4 linked regions of the Caenorhabditis elegans genome follow. The protein of the gene in region 2 interacts with the protein of the main gene of each other region in a pairwise test. Each region holds a gene or a part of one and is shown on either strand. Other genes may lie near its edges.

Region 1 (9,134 bases), on a different chromosome or scaffold from region 2:
GTTACCTCAGAATTCATGACACGCATTCTACTTTTAGTTAAACATGACAGGGACACGATTGGAACTTGCTGATAACAATTTATAGATACTTTTATTATGCGACCTACGGAACGATCACAACAGCAACATGCGTTTGGGTTCTGCTTGGTAAAAGGGAAAGTTTTATGGCAGAAACGTACCTAGGTTCATATTTGCTTGAAAAATATTTCAAAACAAACGGAAGTAAGCAATAATGATGGCGTGTCTGAAAGCAGTTTTAATATATATTTGAAACATTTTCTTTGTTATACACACATCACTGAAATGTCTAAACTTCAACATAGTTTAATTTTTTTGGAAATAAATGTGCAATAATTTATTAGAATAATTATCATTCAGTAAAGTTTTTCACCAACAAAGAACATGAGCGAAATTGCCCAAACGATCAAATTAATAATAATAATTTAGTAAAAATTGTTAAAATGCATTATGACGGATAACATTTTAAAAGAGGCTTTATCTTATCTTGTATAATAAAACACATGATAGTTTTATACGATAGAGTAACAGTAACAGTTTTTGTCAATGAACAAATTTTACAGAACAATTTTTATAGAAAGTTTAATTTTCCAATTATTTGAATGTTGGTGAGTATTGTTTTTTCCAACCTCTCAACACCTTTTAATTTCGAAAACAGAATTAATCACCATGAGTGTCAGGGTTCAAATACACCGGTTTCTGAAACAATTCATGTCAAAAATTGAACGAAACCATTACAAAAACTGTGATACATATGACGCCATCAATCTTCGTGTTCACCTCGTTTTACCTCACTAACTGACAACATCATCACGTCGCCTTTCTTTTATTCTTTTCACTTACTTTCATCACTTTTCATCGTTTCCATCTCATGACTGTTAAAATTTACATCGTTAGTTGTTTATTGGTTGGTGCAGTGTTGTCGCAATGGCCGTATGCCCCAAATCACTGGTATGGAGCAAATCAGGTGAGCTAGGTAAACATCAACAATTTTTATTGCTTAAAAATGTTTTTTTTTTTGAGAACATATAACATTTTTGCTTTGCAGGGAAATATACGGTCAGGAATAGTTCCTGATTACAACCCTGTCCCTAATGTCCAAGGAGGTACATTAGCTCCACACATTTGCGGATTCAACACTTTTACAAGGTACGTTAAGATTGCGTAAATTATTTGAAAAAAATATTTGAGAGAAGTTGACACTGACAGCAAGTTATTAAGTTTTTGTTCTGCAGAAAATGTATGGATCCTGAAGGATATTGCCCTGGCAAGTGCATGAACTTCCGTTACACCTACAACACTTTATACGACTGCCGATGTCTTGCGATTTAGATGCGTTTTTCTTTTGAATTTTGAGTTTGGTTTTCAGTTTTAAATGTTCACCCGACCCTCTGTGTATTTGTATATTTGTATGTATTTTTTCATTCCACATTGTTGCACATGTCTGGCTCATATGATTTGCGTATTCGTAATATAAGTGTAATAAATTTTTGTGATACGCTAAGGGATGATGAACGTAAAGAAAATGCTGCGGAAAAATCAAAAAGTGACACTTGTGACGTGGTCACATGCAGTCTGGGATAAAAATCAGAATATGAAATGAGTGTAAAATCTAATTTTTGTTTAAATTGGAGACTGAAAGTAGAATAAACCAAGAGAAGTGGCACATTGAATTTCGGGGGGGGGGGGGGCAGTTTTTTAAAATTACTTTCCGATAATTTGTACTCTCTCACAGTATTTTTGATTCTTACGGCTGCATAATTTCGATTGAGTTTGAAATTGCATTCAGCGTTGTAATGTGCCCAACTGCCAAAATGAGACGACTGGTTTTGGATGTATTTTTTTAATACTTACAGTGAAATTTTTAGTGATTTGATATATTTTAAATCATAAATTATTGTCTCCATAACTCCATTTTATTCACCCACAACTGGTAGTGATTAAGAATGAGCTCTTCACATTTTTTGTAATTCCACCTTAATGAGTCACCGCCTATCAATCATATAATCTTCATACTTGCTTCATTCCAAACTCTCTGCTTTGCTCTTGTCTTGCTCACTTCTCAGCAGAATCTCATGTTTCACCTGAACTTCTTCTTTCTTCGCTTCTCACTGATTCGTGGAAAAAATTGTCGCGTGTGCTTCCGTTGCCCATACCGCTTCTGACTTGCTCTTATCTTTTCTTTGCTTTTCTTTTTCGTTTTTCGCCTGACACATCAGCCACCAAGCTTTTATTAAAACACGAAGGATATGATTTGTTCATCAGCACTTGTCAGCAGCTCGCTCAAATTTCGACGTTTCGGATGCATGCTTTCCTGAAGTTTGCAACCTCGAAAAGCTCGCATGATATGGGTTTGTCAAGAAACCAAAAGTTTCGAGTTTTTGAGTCGATTCCTAGAATGTCATCAATCTCATCTTCGAACATTATAGTATAGTTTCCGAGCAACAAATGACCGCGGTGGACCTCCTCAAAGTGATTTTAAATTGAACAACTGTGCAATAAATAACGAGGATGAAAAATGTGTGCGAAATGTTGTGTTGTGTTGTGAAACGAAGAAAAGTGCCGAGGATAAAATATCACTCAAAGTGGAGTTGATGGATATGTGACGACATAGGGAGGAGAACTTATTTTGTTTAGATATGGGGTTTTAATACACCAAAAGACATATGAATAGGAACAACAAATTCCAATTTCAAACAGATTACCTATGAGAAAAGCAATTTTGTTTTTTTTTTCACTTGAAAGTTTGTATACTTTTTAAAATTAATTGTTTTTTTTTAATCTTTGCTACTTCCTGAAGGCAACATGACTTTCTGACCCGCACAGGTTTGCTCAATTCTGAATAATTTCTGTTTTGGTCTAGTATTTTACTCTTCAAGACTCGATCATAATCAATGCATACTCGCAGGCTTTGAGTTCGATTTGAAAACGTTCTCAGCATCCATTACTGCTTCCTGTTTCTCTCTAACTTTTCTGCTCACCGCACAACTCTTTTTGATCTTTAGCCTCACTTTTGGTTTGAGTAGAAGCGTAGAGCATTTTTCCTTAAAAAAAATAGAAAGAAAAGTTGATACCTCTCTTCTTTCCTATACTACAGTAGTATTTTCAACCCCCTTCCTCATTCTTTTTATCACTCCCTGATGTTTCAGCTTCTTCTTCTTCTTTTTCCTCTTCATCTTCTTCTTTTTCTTACCTCTCTTCTTGTTTCTCGACTCCGCCCAGTATCATCGTCAGTCACTTGTTGTGCACTCTCGTGTCCGCGGTCCCGTCCATTATCAGCCGCAACATGCAGGCTACTGTAGGCTTATTCGCCTTAGCGGTCTTGTTCTGCCTAGCCGACGCAGGTGAGTATATATGTTTATAGATGGAAACTGGTTTGAGGTTCAGCTTTCATTATGAGAGGGCGAGAAGTAAGGTGTAATAGGTAAAAAAATAAAGCATGAACCTCAAGCTTGTCATACACAAAAGGTATTACTAACAGTGAAGTTGATACGCAAGTGTAAGAAAAACAAGTTTCAGGTAGAATCTCGGTATCCAGAGGAAAAAATGTCACAAAAATTGATGATTTGTGCGCCAGAATGCACAACAACACTGCTCTTGGTAAGTTCATTGAATTACATCAGGTCATTTCCCCTGAAAAATTAATATTTTATCTCATCACTATAATTCATTAAACTTCTCTAGGTTTTAAAAACTGTATTGTTCTGAAAATCTTATTTTCCTTTTGAATATTATTGGTTTCTAATTAACATATGCGTTTCACTAAAAAATTGATACAAGTCATCTAAAAACTAGTATTTCTAAAATCATTGATGAAAAATAAATTATTGTTTTAGTTTCATTTATTGACAATTCACGCATTAGGTGTTTGCAGCAAAACAAACATAAATCAATTATCCGTCATTAACTTCGTGTGTGTCCACGTACCACTTTGATTATTTCAGAAGGATCATCTCCATTGCTGATGATGCAGGCAACCGCCTACGAGTGTCAGAAGAAATGCGTGGACATCTTCCCAGAGTGCTCCGCAGGTAAAATTTTCATTTTTGCACCGGATCCTATCCGGCCCAAGAAGATTGATGTGATGTGTCAAGCAATATCTATAACAAATGACACTCATCCGCAAATATCTCTTTTTCTGCTTCTTTAACTGATTGCTTTTGCAAATTTACACTGCCCCTCCTTGATTCGCAAAACTCCGTCTTCGAAATTTGATCTCTGCGTTTGGGGTCATGAAGACTAAAAAAACATTAACTTCACAAAAAAGTTCAACTTGTTTTCAGTGGTTTACTACTACTTGCATAACGAAACAAAGAAGCATTTCTGCTACCTCTTCTCCGACAACTCGGTTCAAGATAAAATTGACCTTGTCGAGCAAAAGCCAGAAAACAAGAAAGATATTGTTAGAATGCTCGAACTGGTCGTCGACTGCCACCAATTTGATGCTCATCCACCACTGGAGGAGGACGGTTTGGCTTCGTCTACCGATAAGGTTGACAGAAAGAAGAGACGTAAGATTTCGATCGTTACTTCGGTTTATATAAAGTTGTGATTTTAGAACAAGGCGATGAAGCTGTTGAAGGAGTCGGAGATTGGACAGATTGGTCCCATTGCTCCAGTAACGGACACGAGGTGCGCTCTCAGGCATGCGAATACGGAAGAAAAATCCAACGTCGTGGATGTCCAGCTAGATCTGCTCCACAAAGAGTCCCAGCTCCACCAGCGCAGCAGTATGCGCCACGTGCCCCAGAGTACCCAAGTGCACAGCAACAGCAGCAGCAAAGGGAACAGCAACAAAGAGAACAACAACACAGAGAACATCAGGCTCGTCTTCAGCAGCACCAGCAACAACAACAACAACAGCAACAGCAGCAGCAGCAACGTCCACCACAGCCACAGCCACAACCACAGCCACAGCCACCACAGCGACCACCACAACAGCCACAGTCCTTCTCTGGAACTCACGAGCTTCATCTTCAAAGGCAGAGAGAACAACAGCAGCAACAACAACAACAGCAGCAACAACAGCAGCAACGTCAACAAAATCCACAGCAACAGCCACAACAGACAACACAGTTCGGACAATCTCAAATCCAACTCCAAAGTGGGCCAGTCCCTCCACAACAACATCCGCAACAGCAGCAGCCACAGCAGCAACCAGAACTTGAGCGTTCTCCACTCGATCAACATGCTCAACTCTATCAGCAGAGAATGTCTCAATACCGCGAGAACTTCAATCAGAGACATCCAGCTCGTCCAAAGGCTGATCCATGCCCAGGAGGTTTCTGCGCCCCAGTTCCACAGGCCCCACAACAAGAACGCCCAACACCACCGCCAGTTCTTGCTCCAGTGATCAACACTGCCACTCAGCCACCACTTCCACAGCCCTACCCAACCAGATATCGTCCAGCTCCCCCACCACCGCCAGCATGCGATGGACAAGGATGTGTCAACCCACCAGTTGTTTCTGGAGTTTGGCATGATTGGTCTGACTGGTCTACCTGCTCATGCACCTGTGGAGATGGAGCTAAATCAAGAAGACGTGAATGCTCCACCAATAACTGCCAAGGAGCTGATTATGAGACTGAGCCATGTAATCTTGGCCCATGTCAGACATGGTCTGAATGGTGCGAGTGGTCAACTTGCTCTGCTAGCTGTGGATCAGGTCAACGCGAGAGAACTCGATTCTGTCATCTTGGTACAAACAGATGTGAAGGAAAGGACTACGAATCTGAGCAATGCAGTGCTGGACCATGCCCAGAATGGTCTCAATGGGAAGATTGGGGACAATGCTCTGTGACTTGCGGACAAGGAGTCGCAGTTCGTCAGCGTACATGTCTCGGAGGTGTTTTCGGTGATCATCTCTGTCAAGGACCAAAGACTGAACAACGTGCCTGTGATGGTGGACCATGCTCTCTTTGGTCTCCATGGCAAGAGTGGTCTACATGCTCGGCTTCATGCGGAAGCGGAATGAAGCGGAGACAACGTGTCTGCCAATTTGGAACTGATTGCCAAGGACCAAACGAAGAGAGCCAATTCTGCTACGGACCTCCATGTGCCGAGTGGACAGAGTGGTGCGAGTGGTCAGGATGCTCTTCAAAGTGCGGACCCGGACAACGGACTAGAACTCGTGGGTGCCTTGGACCAAACGGGCAAGAAGCCACTACTTGCCAAGGACCAAGTATTGAAACTACCCTTTGCGAAGGGCAATCTTGCTGCAACTGGTCTGAGTGGTGTCACTGGTCCATGTGCGACAAGGAATGCGGGGGTGGTCAGGTGAGATATATTGAATATATGTTCAGAACGGGGTAATAATGAATTACAGTCAATTCGCACTCGTACATGTTTGAACAGCGCTGGAAGTCCGGATTCATCATGCCACTGCGATGGACCAGATCGTGAAGAAAAGGAATGTAACAGTCAGTCATGTGCTCCTCAATGCGCTTGGAATACTTGGTAGTTAAAACTGTTACATTGGTATTAATTAGTTTTTTCAAATGTCCAGGTGCGAATGGAGTCCATGCTCAACACAACTTGCATGCGAAGTTGGAGTACAATCTAGGTCTGAAATAGTTTTTGATGAAGACATGTTAAGAATCTGAATTATATCTTACAGAAGCCGTCAATGTGTTGGAGAATCCGGATGTCACTGCATCGGTCTTGCCGAAGAATCCCAGCAATGCCGTGGATTGACTCAGTGCCCACCAAAGCCACCATGCTAATTTTTTGTGTTAAAAAAAATCAGTCAGACAGGGTTACATCGCCCATTTCTTTCATATTTATGTTTTTCAATTTGTACTTATATTCAATACTTTCATACAACACCGCCTCAAATAGTCGAATCTCTATATCTAGTCAATTAATTGTATTTTTCACGTCTTCCATTATGCAAATGCCTTTCAACGATAGGTTAAATTAAAGTTTGTTTTATCTTTGAAATTTATGTTTTAATAGCATTCACTGCCATAATTTGCATTTTCAATGTGGTTTAAATTTTTATTCTTAAATTCTACAATAAAGTTGTTTCACAGCCCATTGAATATAACATCAAAACATACAAGCCAGTTAACATTCAAACAAGCTTTCAATCAAAGTGTTGTACAGTTTCAGAAAACCACTCCTTAACACGAATTTTCATTAAAGTATATTGGTATTTATTAACCAAGTTTGCTGATTTATAGGTAAAACTAAAAATAGAATCAGATGCAGGTATACAATTATCAGTTGTTTAGACTGTCAGCAGAAGATAACATGGGATCAATGCTATTTTTAATTGTTATGTAGTATATGCACCCCTCCATTATCTAAATTATCTCCCCCTTCTAGGAGATTCATACAACTCATTGATTAAACATGATAGAACATATGTACTCGTTGTACTACAAGGGTGCAATACCCAATATTTCTTGTTGCCATCGTCAAAATCCTTCAAGAACAAAATCCTTTTCCTCGACATCTTCATTTGTGGCACATCTTACTTTCCATGTAGATCTTGAAGGATGTGTCAGAGTTTCCGATTCCTATAATAGTTTCTTTACTAAATGTTCCATATTTTCTTGCCCTATCTGAATTCAAAACAAGTTTCTCTTCGGCAATTAAAAAATTGTAATTTAAATTTTTTTTTTTCGTCACCTTTACTAGTGATTATTTTGATTTTTCCACCAGATTATTCTCTTAATGTGATGTTATAACATATTTTTCTACTCTCCTCTCGTGAAAGATTGACCAAGATCTCTTATGTACCCAATGTATTTGAAAAACGCCTATAAATAAATATGCATACATTGCAAACCGTTTGTTGTGGATTTTGGAGGGATGAATTATTTTTTGAACGTTGTTCTTCCGTTTAGCCCGTTTTCTTACAGGTAGTCACAAGTTACTCGCACAATATGGACCACCTCGTTGTATTATCGATTATTGGCCTCGGCGCGTCTATAGATTCGGTACGTACTGAAACAGTTTCAATATGCATAAAGAACATAAACAGTGTTACAAGTTAAAAAATATATAAATGATAAATTCTATTTTCAAACGGGTTTTTTCAGAAACGTGAGAAGAAAAATATTAGCGTTGGAAAAAAGATCGCATTCATAAAGCTTGGTTATTTTTGTACATACAGATATTTATTTTTATATTTTCAGACATCATCGTTATTGTCCTGAGGACAGGTTAAGATCTTAAACGTGATTCCCAAAGTAATATTTATTAAATAATAATAGCAAATACAAGTTGGTTGAATGATTGACTGAATGATTGAGGGGTGCTGCAAGAGGCCAAGAAATAGTCTTATATACGGAAGAGTTGATCGAATTATGTAAATGATGGGGCGACGGCGGTCATGAAATGGAAACCGCGGGAATAATACCGCGGGAATCATAAAACGGGGAAATCAAAGAGCGAGCGATTTGACATCGTTTTTGTAATATTGACTTTGGTTAATCAAATTATTTTTCCTTCCAGGCTTCCATTAATACATCATACCAGAGAGTTTGAATAATTACTTTTGAACTAATCGCTTTCCTGTTATTAGTACTTTTCTGGCCGAACAGCAAATGAACGCGTTTTTGTGAAGACGTTCGACTTCTAATATTACTCTCAAGTGTAATTTTTCAAGGAAATGTTTTTATGCTTTTTGCTCGTATCTTGACCATTCCTAGATTAGATATCCATTTTATAACTGAACTATTCGTCAATAATGTGTCATGATGGAAATTTTGCAACATAGTAAAATCACAAATAAGCCGTTCTAATCCATTGATGAATCATTGTTCAGTACCTAACCTATTTATAAATATATATCAAGAACACCTACACATTCGTATTTTCTGAAGCATAACCAAAATACGAAAAACTGTTACTACATATTCTCATCACTTTATCACTTTTTTTTTTAACAATGTATCAATCGTCTCTAACCTAACTATCTTTGATCTTTGTATCTGTACTTCTTAGGGTCCGACACCTTTTTGCAGACACTAATATAGAACTCATTTTTTACCGCGCACTTCATCTTTTCCGCATTTTATCAACTTTCAAGAAAAACCGTCAACGATTCTGCCGCGATAATCGGTTTTTGAATCTCTGGGAACATGCGATAAGTTATATTTCTTTCCTTT
Region 2 (7,152 bases):
CGATCGTGTCGATCTTAGCTTTCTTGGATGTTCCAAAGTGACAATTGTACTCTGTAAATCAGAAATTATGTTTATTTCAATTTTTTCACAAAAAAGACAAAAAAAACAAGAAAAAGGCAAAAAAAACATTAAAAATAACAGCGAAAAATAATTAAAAAATACTATGTTCAGTGGAGCGCACTTACGGAGTCCGTAAACACCACGACGCGCAATCACATACTCTGTTCCGGATTTTGTAGTAAAAAATGCACTGTGTACTAACTCTACACGCACGCTACCGCGCCGCGTGTCTCCGCCTGACTCCAGATTCTTAATACAGCTCGATTTTTTAGTGAAAATCAAGAGCTGCAACGGTCGATGCACCAATGTTGACACTCGGGACCAGTAGAGGGGAGTCAGTCACCCTACCGAGCGTATTCTGATACGCGCGGAGAGACACGGAGCAATGTTCGAGCGGCATTGGTGATAAGCGGTGCGGAGAGAATAACAGTACACAGTTTCAGACGAATTCCAGTTTATTCAGAGGATATAAATAGGAATTAAAGTGATTATCAGGATGGAAATGGTGAAGAAAGGTCCTGAATCACAGTGTCTGCGGATGGGTAGCCGCTGACTCGTCTGGTGAAGGTAGAACAGAATGAACGATTGGCCTAAAAGTAGGATAGAATTATTGTGTGGATTTACGGAGCTACGACGCTCCGGAGTAACGGGAGGTCTCGGAGGAGCGCGCTTGCATCGGGAAATACGCAAATGGCGGTAATTCAAAAGGGAATTATTATTAATAGATAATAAACGGAAAAGGACAACGGAGAGTGAATGTATTCGCGGATAATGAGTGGTGGCGAGTGGGTGAGCCTGACCGGTCATATATCTGCAAAGTTGGGACGCAGGGGAAGCGTTAGGCCCAAGTCACAACAGGAGGTGTCTTCTGTGGATCATTTGAATGTAGTCAACACGAATGTACTATTGAATCTCCTTCAATAGGTCTTCTGGGTACAGTCCGTCAACGACATGGTTGTGTATCCACTAACTATAATGTTTTGGACAAGGATGGAAATGTGATTTTCCTAATTGATGGGCCGGACTGTTGTACACAATGCTTTTGTGAAGATTAGGATTTTATGGTGAATCTTCAGCAGGAAAATGGCCACTTGCGTAGACAATTCCAGATTAAAACTGCCGATAACTATGAGCTCATCGGTTCAATCACCAAAAAGTGGGGTGGTGTACTTCGTGAGGCGTTCACTGACGCGGACACTTTTGCCGTCTTATGTAGGTTTAATTGAAAAAAGCTAAAATAACCCCTGGCTATTATCAGTCCCCGCCGACTTTGATGTCAAGCTCAAGGCTGTGCTCCTTGGAGCCACGTTTTTGATTGTGAGTTTTTTTGGTTTTTAGGGCAGCCGGTAAATATTTCAAACATCTCTTTCACTTGGTACACCATGATCTCATCTAAGTATGCAAGGTACTCTAGGCCGGCGGGAACCCCTTCAATTGCTGGGAGCGCTTCCATTCAGATGGATCCTGGAGCCGCTTGTATCGGAGCTCCCGGTTGAGTTGTAATAACAGCTCGGTCTTGCAGTTCAACGTAAACCGGTGGAGCAGGGTTAAGAAGTTCTTGCTCCATTTTTTCAACCTGAAAATTTTGCAAATAGAGCTGATCCTGTAGCAAAGGGCTCGCGGAGCAAAGCGTTTTGGAGCACATTTCATAGTGAGCAAAAATACACATTTCGTGAATTTTACACTTTAAATAATCAATATATGTAGTAAACTATTTGAATTATCGATTTTTCAAAAACAATTTATTTTTGATATATAATTTTGTGAGAAAAAAGTGGGTGGGACAGACACTGAAAACTAGAAGAAATGGGCGGGGCTTGGAGACCTGAGAGTGGGCGGGGCTTAACAAGGAAATGTGGGCGGAGTCTGAAGGAAAGTGACGTCATACATATATTGGAAGAATGCGTTGGAATAATAAGAAAAACGTTTTTAAAAAAGTTGGCTTTTAACAATTACAGTCACAATTGCAATCACAACCATCGGGGCAGCAGCATGCGGAGCTTGCTGTACCTTTAAGAAGAACTGTAATAGGCTCCTGGAATTAAAAAAAGGTCAATTGACAAAAAACCGGGATTGCATACCAAATTATGCTCTAATCACCGAAAAACACAGCAAAAATGTAAAGCAAATGGTAGAGGGTTAAGCAGACGGACGGTTAGACTGAAAAAGCAAAAAAAAATTGATAATTCAAGCGAAAATCCATAATTATCCCAAAAATCAATAATTTGGACGAAAATTCATATTTTAGGGAAGACACCAATCCTTTTTCAATATTCGATAATTTTCACATAAATCAATAGTTTTTTTTAGACAAAAGTTGATAATTTAAGCAAAAATCAATAATTTCCACAACAAAAAAACTTCTGTTAGCAAAAAGCGATAATCACAAACCTCCGTTATTGCGGTTTTGGCTCTGTTGCTCAAACTCCATGAAATCCTGAAAAATTAGCAAAGTTACAGTAATTCTACAGCAACCAAACTTACAATCAAAAACGTGGCTCCTATCAGTACTCCTTTGAGTTTGACGTCCAGGTCGCCGGGGACTGAAAATTGCAAGAATTATTGATTGTATGGACGGGGGCGACTTACAGTTGACGGCGAACGTGTCGGCGTCGGTGAACGCCTCTCGGAAGCAACCTCCCCATTTTTTGGTGATCGCGCCGACAACTGTGCCGTTGTTGGCGGTTTTGATCTGAAAATTTTGAGGGTATTGAAGCAGCGGACATTTTAGGGGGATAGGATCTTCAGCCGGTAGCTCACTGGCTTCCCGACAGACCCGCAAAGTGTCGGCTGCTCGGCAACCGCTGTTTCTTGGGTTATTCGACAAAGCCGCTAGGTGTCGGCTGCACAGCACAAGTCAGCAAAGCAGGTGGTTCAAGCAGCCGACACTTTACGGGTGGCCAGTAATCCTAGTAAATTGCGGCCGACGCCTCACTGGCAAAACCTCAGATAAAGGGCCGGTGAAAATTTTGGGATTTTCAATACATTCACAGCCTCAGGTAATATTTAGCGGCCGACATTTCACAGCACCTTGCAATCAGACAAGCTAGCATGTACCTTGCAGCCGACACCTCTCAGGACCCTAGAACTTCACCTACCGGAAACTCCTTATCCTGACATCCGCAAAGCATGCAACAGCATGGACCATCAATCTGGAAGATCACATTTCCATCTCCATCCATAATATCATAATTCGACGACATGCATCCACACCGCTGACGGATGATACCCAGAACACCCATCGATGGGGTCTCGATGATACATTCCTGCTGGCAGCATCCGATGCATGCCAAGCATCCACAGCAACCACCTCCGCAACACTTGAACTCACGCTTGATGGTCAGAACTTCCTGGAAAATTTGAAATTTCAGAGCATGTGGATCAATTTTGGCTTGGTAGGCCTGAAAATTTGGGCTCAGGATTGCTCCGCGAGCTTGTTGAACCAGATGCTCCGTGAGCTTACCCTCTTAAAGTTATCCACAATATGCATGACGAATCCACGTTGCGGTCCACAGCACTGTCTCTCACAGCATCCGGACTCCTCGAACGCGTAGTAACACTGTTCTCCATTTGCATTCTTGAGCACGTACTTGTTCTTGGTCTCCCAGTCCGTCACAATCTCGATGAGCTCCTTGATTTGATGCACCATGATTGTATCCAAGTAGGTAAGATACTCCAGGCCTGTAGGCACACCTTGGATTGCTGGTGGCATTGGCATCCACACGGAGCCAGGAGCCGGCTGCACAAAGACACCTGGCTGAGTTGTGATTGCTTGTTGGTGCTGCTGCTGATGCATTTCGAATTGTTGCACTGGATTCATACCCTGTGGGTTGTAGCCCGGTTGTTGGTTTATTACTGGTTGCTGCATGGTTATTTTCTGAAAAAAAAACACTTGAAAAATGAACAAAGCACAGTAGATTTAGAAAAAATTTCAAGATAAAAATCAGCAGGAGGAAAGTTCTGGGGCACCTAGACTTTTTGTAGAATCAAATAGTAAAGTTTTTATGGGCTCGCGGAGCAACAGGAACTGATACAATTCAGCGCTACAATCTGGTAAGCATAGTGATTCACGTGACGTGAAAAAAAAGATGCTCCGTGAGCTTGCACAAAAATGTTTTCGAATTTGATCTAAATTTACAAAACTTCAGCTTTAAAGCTTTCAGCTCGCGGAGCACCAATTGAGCTCAGTCTTAAACATTCTTAAAATTAGAAAATATGGCTCTCAAGCTCCTGAAAGCTGAAATCAAATTTCATAATAAAAAGCTTTACATATCAAAAGTTCAATGACGCCATACAACTCAATGATTAGAGGGGAATAAGGAGAAGCAATTTGTGCACGGCACAGACAATTTTAAATCTGATTAAAACAACCTCTATTTCTGGCTCTCAGAGCACCAAATTCAGATGTGGGCTCAATCTTGCTAGATTCAGCTAGCTGAAAGCTTTAGTTTGACACCCATAATGCCTATGCTACCTCAAACTTAATGTAGGGCTCTGTTGCTCCGTGAGCACAGAACACTCCAAATCGTAATTAATCCTGCTGCTCAATTCACTAAAAATTTGAAAACTTGGCATCCATATTGTATAGATTACTTTAGTTTGAAAATTTCCGCTTTCATGCTTCCGTGGAGCACCAAAATGCTTCGCGAGCTCAACGTGAAAAATATTGAAACCTAGGCAATATGGGGCTTGAATTGACGCTCTAAGGGAGCTGAACTTATAATAAAAATTTTATGATAAAAATTAACAATGGCGTTATTTTTTTAAACAAAAAATTGCGGAGCACCAAAATGCTCCGTGAGCTCAATATGGAAAACACTGAAACCTAGGCAATATGGGGCTTAAATCAAAGCTCTTAAAAAGCTGAACTCAAATTCGTATTAAAAAAAAAATTTAGTGATTGTGAATAAAATAGAAAATAATGTGGGTAATTTCAGACAACGTTTTTGGAATTATGTATACCCTTAGGGTTTTAGTTAAAATATACCCATTTTGTCTGAAATTACCCACATTATTTTCTATTTTATTCACAATCACTAAATTTTTTTTTAATACGAATTTGAGTTCAGCTTTTTAAGAGCTTTGATTTAAGCCCCATATTGCCTAGGTTTCAGTGTTTTCCATATTGAGCTCACGGAGCATTTTGGTGCTTCGCAATTTTTTGTTTAAAAAAATAACGTTTTTGGAATTATGTATACCCTTAGGGTTTTAGTTAAAATATACCCATTTTATCATATTATCAGAGGTTCCACTAAAAAGTAGATACTAAGAATGGTTTTTCAATGAAAAAATGGGCGAAACATTTTCACCAGTTTTCCAAAAAATCATAAGTCAGCCAGCTAACTACACAAACAAAAGGGTTGCGTGGCCGGAATACGGAAAAGATCAAAAAATTAGGAGAGACGCAGAGAAATCAAAGATTTTCAGCTGTCTACTTGCGATAGCTACCATGGTAACCATTTAATACATATGATTAAGGCCAAACAACACTTTTTTTCGCTTTTTTTGTTGAATTAAAAAACGTGTTTGAATCATAGAGAAAGTAGGGGAGAGAAATGGAAAAACGTGAAAAATGAAAGAGAAAAAAAAACCAATGAAATTTGAACAGAAAACAGTGGTGATTCAGCAAATATACAAAATACAAAACTACTTTTTTTTGAGTGACGTCACTTTTTATTGCGAAAGTTGCTCGGAAAGCTCAGAAATAATATCATAGAAGTTTTTGAGAACTTGAAAAAATTCGAAAATTAGAAAATTAAATTGAAAAAAAAAAATTTTTCATAAAATTTTTAAAATTTTCTAATGGAAAATAATATATTTTTCAAAGGGTTTCTTAATTTTTTTTTGGAAATTTTTAGAGTTTTTTCCGTGTACAAAGGTTTTACAGGCTCAATTGGATTTTCTGAAAATTTCGAACAAAATTCATTTTTAATTTTTTTTTGTGTAATTTGAAAATATTCCAATATTAAAAAAATATTTTAGAAGGTTTCTTGTATTTTCGGAGTTTTAAAGCATTTTTGAGAGAAAAAAATTGGAAATTTTCTGGAATTTTTTTTCAGGGAAACAGGTTATTTTTCAGAGTAGATTTTTAGAAATTTAAAGAAATTTAACTATTTTCGTGCAATTTAAATTTTTTTCTTTAACTAATATATTTTTAACAGAGCTTTTTTTCCATTTTGAGAATTTTATAGATTTTATGAGAAACACTTTTTTTTAGAAACACAAAACAAGTTTTTTTTCACTAATTTTTTTCCGAAACAAATATTGTCTAGACACAGGTACGCGGGTACCCATGACGAACAAAAACAACCCGATCAGATGCGATTTTTGACCCATCGCTAATTGGGCAATTTTTCTGCGGAACCGGTTTCAATTCTGTGGGGTAAATCTTTGCCTCTTTTTAATCTAAATAACAATTTAATTTTGGCAACACTTTTCTTTTTTTTGGATTAATTTTCATGTAAAATTTACAATTTAGGATTTAATTTTAATATTATTTTTTAAGAAAAAAATTGCAATGTTTTTGTATTTTTTCAGTCCGAAATTTGCAGAAAAAAATTCATTTTGAAAGTTAAAAAATCCTAACAAATCAGGAGAAAACAAATTAAAAACACTCGGAAGTTGAAAAACTAAAGAAAATAAATTCCACAAAAAACTGGTCGAAAATGAGAAACATTTGTTTTGTTGTGGCTAAAAGAGCGTGAAACAAAGAGAGAGGGAGAGGACGCAGAGATAAAAAGGCACCTAGAGAGTGTTGGGGTGGTGAGAGACGCAGAGATGAAGAGGGAAAGGGAGGAGACTAGACACAAACATATGAGGAACACACGTTGCAGGGGTGTGTTCTGGTGTACTAAACCAAACGGGAAATTATTTTTTCAAGGTTTTTAATTAAAAGTAGACAAATGATATCTGCGCATTTCTGAGCATTTACCTTACTTGAGCCAGCAGAAATTTCAGAAAACAAATTTTTTTCCGATGCAAAATTTAACACTGAACATTTTGCTAGTTGAAAGTTTTTTGATATCTTTAGCCGTTTTTGAGATAATTTGGTTCAAAGTTTGAGGTGGAAGAGAGTGTGGGAGAGAGGAGACG
Region 3 (6,461 bases), 3.0 Mb from region 2:
GTAGAGAGGGTTTTATCTACAGATACTTGTTTCTTGTTGAATTCAATAGTACCGTGCAAGGTATTCATGAAAACAGCATTTCTTTCACAACTCTTCTTGTATCTCGCATTAATTGATGCCAAGGACTCGGACATGATGGTGTTTGCTGTGTTGCTAGGTGGTTCTGTTATTCCAGCATGTTTAACTTTCCCCCCAGCAGTCATTGTCTCAATCAACTTTTCAGCAGTAACCGTGTACTTTCCCTCTGGATCATCGTCCAACGTCATATCCTCTCTGAAATTCAAATATTAAGATCCAACGGATGCAAGCCACGAAAATTACTCTTCGTCTTTTGCCATCCAATAAATCATCTTTCCTTTCTTCAATTGCGAACGGGAAATCGGTTGTTGATACCAACTGGCTGGGAACAGGGCTCTTTTGTCGTCAGTGGTATTCACAACTGAAAATAAACACTCCGATTTCTGTATTGTTTCGTAGTTTTACCGAATTTCTCCATCGGGGCTGTTGGCTCTAAAACTTCTTTTTGCTCCATTGTTTCCACTTTTGTTTGCTTGGGATCGACAGGGGCAGCGTATAAGCTAAAATATGATAATTTCTACATAAAACCATTCGACCCATTGAAACCTTTTCATCTGATCGTACTCTGCTTGGGACTTTTTTATGTTGTCCTGTTTATCTTTCCTTTGCTCCAAACTGATTTTCTGTTTCTTACGAAGAGCGTCCAGTTCCTTTTCACGAGCTGCCTAAAGTTCATGGTTAAAGTAAATTTCTCTATAATCTCTATGTTACGTGATCACGAATCGACACAAACTTTTTTTGTGGAGCCAAAGTGGATAAGTAGTATTCTTTCAATCGTCCAAATTCTACATCAACTTTCACTCCTTGACGATTGACAACCGTATTGGCTCGTTGCATCTTTGGATGGCGCTGAATTTCAAGAAATAATGTATTTCTTTTTAACTTTTTAGATGGATAGTAAAAACCGTAATTAAGCACTTCCTTTGCGCGGCGAGATATATATATATATATACTGTATGCTTACCACGTCTGAATTTTTCGATTTCGAAACGTATTGAGACTGCGTATGAAAGATTTCAACTACTTGCTCCTTTCGAAATTCTTCCCAATTTTTCAGTTGTTTCTGAGCATCCTTCCTGGAAACCAAATCAGATAAGTTATTACATATACATCAATTTATTTAATTACTTGTGAGTTTCATACTGATCATCACTCAGTTTATACCGCTGCTGCATCTTCTTTTTGTAGCTCATCTTCTTCGCCTGTTTCTTTTCATAATCAGATTTCTGTTTATCAGGCGATGGTGATAAACTGAGCTTTTGGAGTTTACCTGAAAGCGCTCGATTTTACTTTAAACCAAAAACTCATCATACTTTTTAAACCAGAGAAATTCATGCTCGCTATTTTTGACTCGAGCACTTGTGAAATGATGCGTGTGAATACTTAGACGTGAATAGAAGGATTAAATGGAAGTTTATTTATCGACTTCACGCGAAAATAAATAAAATTTACACCGAAAACGTGGGTTGGAGAGAGTAAAATGTTTTGAAAAGAAGGATACAAATAAGTTAAACATGGAGATACTGAAACGCATCCTGCACACCGGGGAAAACTTATTCATATTGACAGTTAGTCTCGGCAATCGACCAGTCACCAATAATCTTCTCTTCTTTACCCAAAACGACACCTTCTGTCGCATCAACACGTCCGATTTCGAACTCATTGTCAGCGACGCAGTCGTGGTAGAGAGTAAGTTCAAGCGATTTGCGAAGCACGGCTTCTGCCTCTTCACGGGAGAGGTCTTCTCCCTTCTTTCTCCACTCATCTTCAACAGCTTGGTTGAGGAGGAACGCTCCAAGTCCAGTTGCAATGTGCTTCACTTGATATGCGCATCCCTGAAATTTAGAATAATTATTATGTGATTATTTAATCATGAGATTCTGATCCGGCAAGTTAACGCTTTCAAGTTTACCTTCTGAGTAATGACACCGATGAAAGGTGTGCTAGTCTCCTTGTTGTTCTTCTCCTCCTCTTCGACTCCGGCGACAACAAGTGTGTTCCACACTGGGTTCATCTTGCAACGTCTGAAATTTTTTACTTAAACTTTCAATTTAATTAGGAAAACAGACTTGGCGTAGAGAAGGCTTGTGAGGTATCCGTGGAGAGCTTTTGGTCCAATATCCTGATCGAAGCGCTTCCAGAGAAGAACCTGACGCTCGATCACATTTTGAAGCCAGTGGAAGTCAGCGTGATCTCCTCCGAAGGCAATGAGAACATTATCATTGACCTTGTATTGACGAGAAACATTCTGGAAACAAATATTATGAAAATCCACTTTCAGCTGAACGGAAATTCAAACCTTGTAACGAGCCATTTTTCCATAGGAAACAACTCGATCAGTAAGGACAACAACCCCAGTTTTATACTGGAGAGCGATAACCGATGTTCCGGTACAAGTAGGATTCCTGAAAAATTGAGTTAATTCAAACGAATATAGGTTTAATGACTTACAGTGTGCGCTGGACTTCGTCGTGAGCATTCATTTTGGTTCTGAAACAATATAAATGAAGTTTTTGAAGGGAGTGCTTTGAAAAAATGAAAGGAAGTGAATTTCGACAATGAAATGCAAAAATGGCGGCTAAGTCATCATAAAGCATGTGCGCTCCGTCGAATTTTACACTGAATACCACGCACAATTGCGTACTTCAATAAGAAAAATTATCTCGCGCTACTTTTTTTGAGATAATATTATAATATAAATTAATTCATATTTTATAAATATATTAATTCATATTTTATTCTTTTGAATTCTCACTGAAATTGTGAAACTATTTAAAATATAAATTGTTTCAGAAAAATGACCTCGGAGCTTAAAAATAACGAAGAAGACTACAACTCATCGTCCGATGAAGATTACGATCCAACAAAGGATACCGATTTTGATCCAAAGGATGAAGTAAGCATTCCTAGATATCGCCCTTTTATTGCTCATTCTCCTCAACAGATCGATGATCAAGAAGAATGCGAAGATGGAATTGACGAAGAAGTTGAACATCTGAAAAATGAAAAACAAAGTGACGACCATACATCAGAAAAGGCAAACAGTACTGAAGGAAGTGTTGATGTGGATGCGATATTTGCAGAATTAACTGGGCTAGCACCGAAACCAGTTGTCAACGATACATCAAGCAAGAATATTCCAAAAACTGAAGAAAGGGTGTATCCAAAATCAGCAGCGTATGTTTGAAACAAGTAGAAATAACTTTTAAAAATGTATTTTACAGATCTGCATCCAACGAGTCTACAAATCAGAAGGTTTATCCGAAAAAGTGAGTTGACATGAGTTTTTATTTGATACAAATTTAAAAACAACTTTTTCTTATTTTTCTAATAATTTTTTTCAGAACGGAAACAGCTGGAACATCGTCTGAAAGTAGCATTGTACCCGGAAAGAAAAGAGTCGGCTTGCTTGATGCTGCAAAATCACTGTCGAAGCGTTCTAAAATTTCTGTTTTGGAGAAATCTGATCGAGATTGGAAAGATTTTACGACGCAAAATAATTTAAAAGTATGTTTCTTTAAGTTTAAGGTTTTTGAATAAATTGTTTGTTTTTCAGGAAGATTTGGAATCTCATAACCGAGGGAAAGGCGGTTATCTGAACAAAATGGACTTCTTAAACCGAGCTGATAATCGCCAGTTTGAAAAAGAACGAGCGTTCCGTGCAACAGCTCGTAAGGACACTGGACAGTAAATAATTCTTTATTTTTTCAATTGAATCTTTTTTGTGATTTTCTGGTTTCTTTGACAATTCGTAACTTTGAAAAATTCATAAACCTTCTGTAAAGATACGGACATTGAAATTTAATCATGAACATATTTAATGGACAAAAACGAGAAAAATGGTAAAGGGAGACAATAACTAAATCTAGAAAAAGGATGAATCATGAAAAGGGAATTGTAGAAAAATCACATTCTAAAATAATTAAAATGAAATACAACAACTTTGGGAAAAGGTAGGTTACAGTTTTATAATACGAACTCGTTTGTTTTTAAGGACTTTTTGTGGAATTTTTGCGAATTGTTTCAGAACAAAAAAAAATCTGCTACTTGTTTTTAAAACTGGGATTCATGAGGAAAAATAGATAATGGAAAATAAGGAAAAATTAAGATTTGCTGGGCTTGAGGGGAACATGATGAAGACATGAAGTAGAGAGCACATAGTGGGATGTGGAGAGAGAAAGAGCTAGAAGGAAGCGAGAATTGTTTTTCTGATCATTGTGTTAATTTTACAAAAAAATGGATAGGAGATTGTGTTGATTCGATGATGACTTATGATGTTGATGATGGTAACGGCAAACAGAGAAAGAAAAGAACAGGAAAAAAGCGGATAAAGCATGAATTTTGAAGCACACAGAACAATTGAAAGAACAAGATATACTGGAAGATAGAAAGCTAAAACTAGAGAAATTATGACGAGATGATGTAGAAAGGTAATCAGATAATGATTGCAAATTGAGATTTTTTAAAAATTACAATGAATGGGTAGGCTGCATCAATTAGGTACAACTATTCTTCTAAATCGAGCTCATCATACAGATCTTCATCTTCATCAGAGAAATAGACCTGAAAGAAAAATGTGTTATTTTAAAATTAAATTTGTATTATTTTCAAACCACCGAAACACTTTTTATTTGCATACCTGGTTATTGATAACTCCAGAATTTCTATAATTGCTGTCATCAAAGCGTTCGCGTTTGATTGGTGGTCTAAAAAATTATTTTATTTTTACATTGAAGCCAGAATTTTACAAATTTTTACCCTCTGTTAACAGGTGCCTTTCGTTTCCTCTTCTTCTGAGCAGCGACATTTCCTTTGGCTCGTTCGAGACATCGGAATTCTAGAACAATTGGATAGATCTTTGAGAGTACTTCGAGAACATCGGCTTCCGATTGAGCTCCAGTGACTGTAATTGAGCCAGTCGTATGAATTCGAAGAGTAGCTTTTGGTGTCACAGATCTCCAAACAAGACCAACGGAAAGTTCAGGCTCATATGTGGATTCTGATGGATATTTTGCTGCGACTTCTTCGATTTTGATTCCGAATGGAAGACGGCACGTGGCCAGAACGTTGTTCACCTAAATTCCACATAAACTTAATAATTAGATAAATATTTTAAAGTTGCAAAATTTTATGGTATTGACAAACACACAAAAACGGTATCGCGCGTGGTGTCAGAATGTCCCATCACAGTCTGATCTACAAAAAATGAAACGTGACGTAGAGTTTCCAACTGGTGTCGCACGGTTAAGAATGTGCTGACGTCACACTTTTCTGAGCAAAAATACCCGCACTTATTGTAGATCACACCGTGATGGGACAACCTGACTCTACGTGGTATCGTAATTTTTTTTTTCAAATTTTGAAATGGCTCTTTAAAGGCTCACGACTTTCTTCAGATGGGTCTCGACGCGCAAAAAGTTTATTGTAGTCTTTTTCTTCAATGTTTGCGTTTTTCAATGAAACTGCACGGTTTTCAGCTTTAAAAAAAAATTCTGTTAAAAAATCTGTTTCCAAATGGGGGCACCACGGTTTCAAGATCTGGTGGATTCCGGTTCTACGTTTTCCAGATCTGGCACCAAAACGTAGATCCGGAACCCCACCAGATCTTGAAACCGTGGTGCCTCTCCAAATGTTCAAACTTCAAAAAAAAAAGAAAGATTACCATAAACATTTTGCGTGCCGAGACCTTTCTGAATAAATCCGTGCGCCTTTAAAAAGGCATGTAAAAATCTGGTGAAACTACGATACACGGTCAAATAATTTTAGTACACTAGTTTGCACGACTGACATTTTTACACTTTTCTTCAATTTAATTTAAATTTACAAGTAATAACTTTAACAAAAATGAAACATCTTTAAAAGAAAAAAAAACAAATCGGAAATGGCGGAAGCTACTGTACTTCTTGAAGGCGAACTTTTTTTAAATATTTTTTTTTTAATAGATAAATTTTTTTAATAGATAAATTGAAACTTTTCAAAACTTGCTCGATAATTTCTAATCGAAACTCGTTCTTTCGTTTTTCCCATAACTCGCTGAACATGTCTGGCAATTGAACGTGCAGCTCGTTTACAATCCGCCTCACTCCGGCAACCAACAATATATACTTTTCCAGAACTATATACTTTGATATAACAACCAGGCGATCTTTTTTGTTTCATCATTACTCCTTTTTCTCTTTCATATGTCACGTTATGAGTGTTCATTGCCAATTTTCGAAGATCAATGTGCAAAGGGAGTGTATAATTACAAACAACATTTCGAATCTGGAATATTTTCAAGTTTTGATGATTGATTGCTGTTAGAAAGTACCTGAATATCGATATCACCATCATCTGGCATTGGTTCCTCATTGGCAGCCGATGTACCTTCTGGAGGAACATCT
Region 4 (6,839 bases), on a different chromosome or scaffold from region 2:
ACAGTTTGAATTTAAATAATCTGGAAAATAAATAATCTGAGAGTATTCAATAAGAAAAACAGAAGGGAGGTCACTTTGAACAGCGAAACACGAAACTTTTCGGATTTTTAAATTTTTTTACAATTCAAAAAATGCCCCAAAAAACGGAGCAACTTATTCAAGAACTAGTTTTTTATATTCAAAAGCTTGATCTCTCTCATAGAATACGAATTCGTTGTCTTCTTATTTAGTTTAAATTCCAAAAGTTTCAATTCAAGTGTGCTGCTCCCCTTCAAATTTATTTCCTTGTCCCTCCGTTATCCTCTTACCAGAACTACTTGAAAAAGTCACTCGAATTCTAGTTTTTCACAAAAACACCCCGGGGTTCTGCAAAACGATTTATGGGAATTTTTGAAAAGACGGACCACCATTTGAGAGAGGAGAAACAAAAAAAGTTCTGCTGAACAAATTGGGGAAATGGGTGGGAGTGGACGCTTTTTTGGAGGGAAACAACTACATAAAAAACAACTAAAATTCAGCTTAACTGGGAGTTGATTGCTCCATTTTTTTGCGGGACATTAAAATTTAAAGACTCGAATTTCGCGAAAAATTGGAAATTCCTTCGAATTTACGAGAAATAAGTAAAGTGCTGAAATATTTATCCCCAGAAAAAAAAGTCCAAAATCACCCGGCACACATTCAAAAGTAAAAACTCAATTTTGCTCCGCTCATAGAAATTCGGTGAAACGCGGAAAAGTATTGTGACTAGTTGCAGAGTCTCAACAAGTCATTGACTTTCACTAATTGAGTAAACGAGAACAAAACACATTGTAAGACAAAGAAAAGGCCCCGTCACATTTTTTGAAAGGTGTACTTTTTTTTGGGATTTTGTTTTCGAAACAATTATGTAGATGTCTTGAAAATATGAAAAGCTACTTGTTGATGAATAATTTATGTAAATTTCAGAAAAATATGTCGCTCTCAATTCGAAGTCTATGTAACAGAAAAATTGCAAAAAATAGTTTTAAAAGCAAAAAATAATTTGAAATTTTCATTTAAAAAATCGAAAATTTCCTACCTAAAAATATACATTTCAAAATTCAAAAAAATTACTAATAAACTTTCCCCTTCTTTTCATTGAAAAGTGCGAAAAAAGTTGGACATCTATTTATATATATGTAGCGATATGCATTTGAAGGGGTAACTTTTTGTCTCTTTTTCTCAATGCACTTTTCACCTCTTCTTGCTCTCACTCAACTACTACGTAGTAGCAGAACAAACAACAGGGACCAAGTGGGTCGAGTTTTCGATTTTTCCTTGATTCTGAAAACAAAAATTCGAAAAATACTAATCAATTATAAATTTTAAAACATTTTCGGTCATCTTCTATAAAATCTTATCAACATAATTTCAATACAACAATAGTTTTCTTAATATTTCTAATTGTTTTTCCGGGTCTCGAAATGATTATTCCTGAAAAACAGAGCTCGAAACTACAGTACTCTTTAAAGGTACATCCACCTTTTTTCCATTCAACAAAAAATGTTGTGTGAATACCAGGTACCAAATTTATTAGCTTCAGCACTTTTGAAAGGACCCATTTAACAAAAAAACTGGTAGTGAGAAACATTTATTCATCATTTCCTAGATTTACAGAAATACAATCTTCAAGAATTTTACTTCTTCAAACAACACTGCCCGGAGACATTTCCGCACGGCGAATAGTTTTGTTGACATCCGCACTGACTATTTTGCATTGGTTGACATGCCATTTGGGCCGGCTGATTACAGGATTGATTGCAGGATGTCGAGCAAGCTGGAGCACACTGTTGGGAGGCCGTGGTTCTAGTTTGGCACTGCTGTTGGCATTGTTGCTGGCACTGGGGAACACATTGGGAGGTCTGTGGGGAGGCTTGCACGTAGATGGTTATGGTTTGAGTGTTGCTGTTCTGGCAGGAGTTCTGACACTGCTGGCAGTTGGTGGAAGTTTGTTGAGAGCATTGTGGAGCACATTGTTGTTGGCATTGAGTTTGTTGGTAAGGGTTGTAGTAGTTTTGGTTTTGGTACTGGTTCTGGTTGTACTGATTTTGGATCTGGTTTGGATTTTGGTACTGATTTTGGTTCTGGTACTGATTTCCTTGCTGATTGTACCCTCCATACTGCATTTGATTATACGGATCCTGATTATTGTACATCATATTTCCTGTGGACCCACATTCCTGCTGGCACTGCTGCTGACAAATTGGCTGGCACTGTTGCGCGGTCTGCTGTTGAGTACACTGCTGCATGCATCGGTTCTCACACTCTGGAAGACAACTTTGCGACGCTGGAATTGGTGTGGAAGTCATCGGATTGCAAGACGATGTCTGGCAGGATTGCTGACACGTTGGCTGGCATTGAGTGTTGGTGTTAGATTGGCACTGTTGACTGCAGGACTGTTGACAAGCAGGCATGCATTGAGACGTCTGCAATTGATATTGCTGGCTGCTGGCGCAAGAGCATGGAGTTGAAGGTTGGCAGGAGCAGCTGTATTGTTGTGAGGCCTGCTGGCAGGAGCAGGTCGGCTGAACCGATTGAGCACATCCGCAGGAGGCTTGACGGGTTTCGCGGATTGAGGAGGCCTGAAATCAAATTGAGTTGAGAAACACGTCGTTAATTGGAATGCTTCTATCAATTTTAAACGTCACTACGAGATTTTTATCGGCCCACATTAAAACAGGGTCGGTCTACTTCCATATACGGGAATACAGATATTACTCTAAAAAAGGAGATTTTTCAGTTAATGATGTCGAAAATTGAAATTCGAAGAGGTTCAAAAACAGTCGTTAAAGCGCCAATTCACATTTCAAGTAGTTTTGTTAACACGAAATTGCGAAAAGAAAATACAATTATTAGGCTTTCTCTCAGCACTTAGAAATTATAAATTTTCAAATTCCTTACAATTAGTTTAAAATTGAAAAACTAACCTGAGCCACAGCCAAAGCAACTGCAAACAATATAATCACACAACGCATCGCTCAATGGGATTCTGTGAGTATACCCCGTGTAATTCTTGCCACTTTTATACTTTTTCATGTTGTTTACCAACCTACACTTTTGTTTCTAGTTAGACACGTTTTTTTTTCTTGAAAATCCTAATCAAAAGTTTACAATGTTTGCATTTTTCATTGACCCGATAAATCAACTTATCTTTTGTTTGTTTGTTGAGCATGATGGAGGAAAACTGGTTCTTAATCAGAGTTATTCATGTTTGTTCAGTTATTTTTGAAATAAATATATAAGTTTGAAGTAAAACAGAATTAAATTCTCAATTTATTATTCATTCCCCATAATCGTTTATTTGCATTACACTCTCCTCTGGCCAGCGCTATCTCTGTTCCTCTCAATTGTGTATACCTCCGTGAAGCATGTCTCTCGTGGCCGAATGGTCTAGTGGTATGATTCTCGCTTTGGGTGCGAGAGGTCCCGGGTTCAATCCCCGGTTCGGCCCATTCCTTTTGAAAAAAATTGAGAAAGAAACAATTTTTCAACAATGAAAAAAAAAACAAAAAAATCAAGCCACCTAGGGGACTCGAACCCCTGACCTTAAGATTAAAAGTCTCACGCTCTACCAACTGAGCTAAGGAGGCCACGGCGGCGGTGTTAGAATTGGTCTTTAGAAAACGGAATCGGGAGAGAATCGAGAGGCGCGCCTGGTGGTCAACTAGTACATCTAGTTGGCATGGAAAATTTTAATGTTTTCAAACATAAATATGTATTAATTGAACAAATATTTGTGAAAAATTTTGCATAAAAAATTGCTGTATAAGGTGTTACAACGGCTTTAAAGTTTAGTTTTCAATTATTTTTAATTGAAAATTTGACGCAAAAATGTTTAATTTCATCTTTCTAGTGTAAAGTTTATATTCAGTAATTTTTTTTCTCGATAACATAACTGAACTGTGTTGTTTCAAATAAAATATCTTCTATTCAGCAGATTTTCAAAACCGAAAAAAAATCCAGAATTTCAACACATCGATGACCAATTTAGTCTCATTTCCTGCCGTCACTTTCCCTCATTCCCGATTTTCTCAGTTTTCATTTCTGTTTCCCCTCCTTAAAAAGCGTCTATTCAAAAGGGATTTCCGTCGATCATAACCAGACGATATCGCTTAAATCGATCTAATAATGTTGGAATGTCCATTCTCCCCCCTCACCCGTTTCCTCACTTCTTTGCCTCCCTGTTGTTCTTGTTTTCTCCCGTATTGTTTTCCTAAATCTCGGACAAAAACTAGAGGCCTAAAACGTGGGCCTGATGAGGCCCTTACTCTCATGTTTCCCCGTGATTTTCGCGGTTTTTGGGCCGATTATTGCGGTTAAGCCCGTATGGAAGACGCCCGTCTCTGAGCCGAATCCAAATGCGAATCTCGAAGTTTTAAAGGGACACTCGAATTTGGCGAAGGTGAGTTTTTTTTTCAGAAATTGTTTTTGTAAATTCTGGTTTCTCTCGTGAAATAGTAGCATTCGTAAAACTTTAATTGAAAAATAAAACGCTCCAGCTGAGGCTCGTGTGTTGAACTAAACATTTTTGGTATATTGAATTTTAAAACAGGGGGACTAACTATAAGATTTAAAGGGATACCGAGAAATCCAGTTTTTTTTAATTTTAAAAGTATTTTAATTCAAACAACTTGGAACAGCTGCTCATGCCTTACTGGTCACACATTTTCACTCAAAAAACAGTAATTGTGGTTAAAACTCTTAAGAGCAGTGACGTCATAAATTGTCTTACACGGAAGGTGTCAAAATTTAAAAACTTTTGAAGCTTTTGAAATTCGGTTTCGACAATGTTCAGGCACCGGTAGAAAACCTGGTAATTTTTCGATTGAGTAAGACAGTTTGAAAAACTTCCAAAAGTCGTCAAGAACCCTATATATACCAAGTTAAGTAACCAAAAAATTTCCAAAAATGTCTTTGTAGAAGTTTTCCAACGTTTCTCAATTTCCGCGAAGTTTTGAGGTCTCTTAAATATCTGTAATGATTTGTTCAAAACATTATTTCTCAAATCAAACACTTCTATATTTGAAGTAAAAATACATAAACTTTTTCTATTCCAGCGTGCTCAACCGAACTACTACACACGTCCCGAGCAGGTCTCGATTCCGGAATACCGTCCACCTCGTCAACGTCTTCCACCGTTACCATCTCCAAAGATCTCATATCAACAAGTTCCTCCACATCAACTAACATCTGGTGGAAGCTTCCGACCATTCGCTTGGGTTGGCCCTCAACCAAAACCCGGCAGCCCTCAAACCAGTTACTATGAGAATTCTCCAAACAAGGGCCAATTTCCAAAGGGATTACCTCCATTGCCACCAAATTGGCAGCAGTATCCAGTGCAGATGATATGGATTCCAGACACGCCAGGACAAACTACTGGAGCGTACCCGTATTATCCGGGACCCGCTGGACCGCCCGTGCCAGTTTCAACAGGAAGCTATGGCCTGTATGGACCAACTGTGACAACCGAGAAGCCAATGGAACCGTCGGTCAATCCGGAAACGTATACAGGTATTTAAGGAAGAAGCGAGCTAAAATAATTGAAAGAATTTTTCAGGAACCGTCGCTCACAGTCCCTCTGCCAACCCTATCACCACTACTATACCTTACGAGCCCCCAAATCCATATGGAGGACAGACTCAGGTGTCCCCGTCTTCAAATTCCTATCCGGATTCAACAGTCTCCACTACTTCGAGCAACACGGAATCCTATGAACAGCCATCTACATCTCCCTCAGAAAGGCCTAGATCATCAACTCGGGATTTTGAAAATGGAAATGGAAAAACTGTAAATCCAACCATCCGCCCAGGACCTCAAGAGCTTAGTGGTGGAATTGGAACTTCTTCCAAGCCTAGACTGCCTAATGACGCCGACTACACTAGAGATGTAGAGACTGGAAGCTCTGAAGTTACAACTCCGTTTGGTAGAAACACGGAAAGCTCTACTCCTTCTAAAAGCCCAGGATCAACAAGTTCATCCGACACCACTCCGTCTTCTAACGAAAATGGGAAAGAGACAACTCCATTCGAGATGACCAAAAATCCATTCAACGATCTTAAAACCATCCGACCAATATATCTAGGTTCAAGTTCTGACGAAGAAGATGACGAACCGCTAGAGGATATCAGCAAGGCAACCGATTCCCCACATTCTTCAGAGAAATCTCAGATTCCTGGATCACCAGGTTCACAGATAAAGAATCCATTGAAACCCTCTTCAACGGAATCGGAAACTATTGGACCGGAATCCTCCGAGTCAGAAGACGACGGAGAGCGAAGCACGCCAACTCCACAAGAGGAGGAAGAGGAAATGATGAGGAACTTCTTCCCAAGACCTGTCAGTGCTCAAGCATATCAGCCGCCAGGACATCAGCCGGAAGATTTTACGAGTCATATCAACGTGAATTTCAAGAGACCAAAAGGCAAAGGAGGATGTGTAACACCGCCGTGCAGAGGAGTGGATACTGATAAGGTGAGGTTATAAGGGCTTTTGAACATTCTCTAAATTTGAAATATTTCCAGATATCCCTCTACAAGCCAGACCGTGACAATGAGGACTCGAGCCCGACACTCGTGATCAGTAACGCTGCAAAAGACGATGCATCGCGTGCCGGATACAAACCAGCTCCACCACTGATCAATCCATACATCCCTCCACCACCGCCCCCGCATCCTGAAGAAGAGTATGCCACGCCGTACACCGTTCCCCCCGGCAAACAACCATTCCCACCATTTGGAGAAGGACCTGCGACTCCGCCAAGAAGCCTGATCCCGGCGCATAATTTCCCTCCTCCAAGTACTTTCCCACCTGATGAGGATTAC

What was found.
Region 1: the proteins of scrm-1 (region 2) and T21B6.3 interact in a two-hybrid assay, tested with the Caenorhabditis elegans proteins (2 studies listed by BioGRID).
Region 3: the proteins of scrm-1 (region 2) and pbs-7 interact in a two-hybrid assay, tested with the Caenorhabditis elegans proteins (2 studies listed by BioGRID).
Region 4: the proteins of scrm-1 (region 2) and pqn-71 interact in a two-hybrid assay, tested with the Caenorhabditis elegans proteins (one study listed by BioGRID).

The regions. Positions count from the first base shown.
Region 1 is NC_003284.9:10,943,073-10,952,206, reverse strand, and holds T21B6.3 (Apple domain-containing protein), read left to right. Parts: upstream 1-3,254; 5' UTR 3,255-3,304; coding exon 3,305-3,362; intron 3,363-3,537; coding exon 3,538-3,618; intron 3,619-3,882; exon of another isoform or gene 3,883-3,946; intron 3,947-3,962; coding exon 3,963-4,049; intron 4,050-4,301; coding exon 4,302-4,529; intron 4,530-4,576; coding exon 4,577-6,294; intron 6,295-6,343; coding exon 6,344-6,474; intron 6,475-6,523; coding exon 6,524-6,580; intron 6,581-6,634; coding exon 6,635-6,740; 3' UTR 6,741-7,047; downstream 7,048-9,134. Other genes in the region: K09C8.7 (uncharacterized protein), read left to right, coding at 890-985, 1,067-1,167, 1,254-1,350.
Region 2 is NC_003279.8:11,686,894-11,694,045, forward strand, and holds scrm-1 (Phospholipid scramblase), read right to left. Parts: upstream 3,938-7,152; 5' UTR 3,929-3,937; coding exon 3,524-3,928; intron 3,411-3,523; coding exon 3,159-3,410; intron 2,753-3,158; coding exon 2,650-2,752; intron 2,604-2,649; coding exon 2,545-2,603; intron 2,498-2,544; coding exon 2,452-2,497; coding exon of another isoform or gene 2,444-2,451; exon of another isoform or gene 2,221-2,443; coding exon of another isoform or gene 2,216-2,220; exon of another isoform or gene 2,096-2,215; coding exon 2,073-2,095; 3' UTR 1,789-2,072; downstream 1-1,788.
Region 3 is NC_003279.8:8,693,732-8,700,192, forward strand, and holds pbs-7 (Proteasome subunit beta), read right to left. Parts: upstream 2,571-6,461; 5' UTR 2,562-2,570; coding exon 2,530-2,561; intron 2,484-2,529; coding exon 2,378-2,483; intron 2,327-2,377; coding exon 2,148-2,326; intron 2,103-2,147; coding exon 1,991-2,102; intron 1,914-1,990; coding exon 1,632-1,913; 3' UTR 1,474-1,631; downstream 1-1,473. Other genes in the region: K07A12.5 (Pre-mRNA-splicing factor SYF2), read right to left, coding at 1-273, 322-439, 484-578, 625-743, 790-927, 1,043-1,154, 1,207-1,348, 1,392-1,413; F39H11.1 (Craniofacial development protein 1), read left to right, coding at 2,876-2,974, 3,023-3,255, 3,303-3,347, 3,423-3,585, 3,635-3,769; tlf-1 (TATA box-binding protein-like 1), read right to left, coding at 4,585-4,641, 4,718-4,784, 4,837-5,153, 6,064-6,342, 6,389-6,461.
Region 4 is NC_003283.11:15,461,855-15,468,693, reverse strand, and holds pqn-71 (Prion-like-(Q/N-rich)-domain-bearing protein), read right to left. Parts: upstream 3,018-6,839; 5' UTR 2,994-3,017; coding exon 2,946-2,993; intron 2,601-2,945; coding exon 1,656-2,600; 3' UTR 1,594-1,655; downstream 1-1,593. Other genes in the region: rocf-1 (ZP domain-containing protein), read left to right, coding at 4,274-4,420, 5,076-5,529, 5,576-6,489, 6,540-6,839.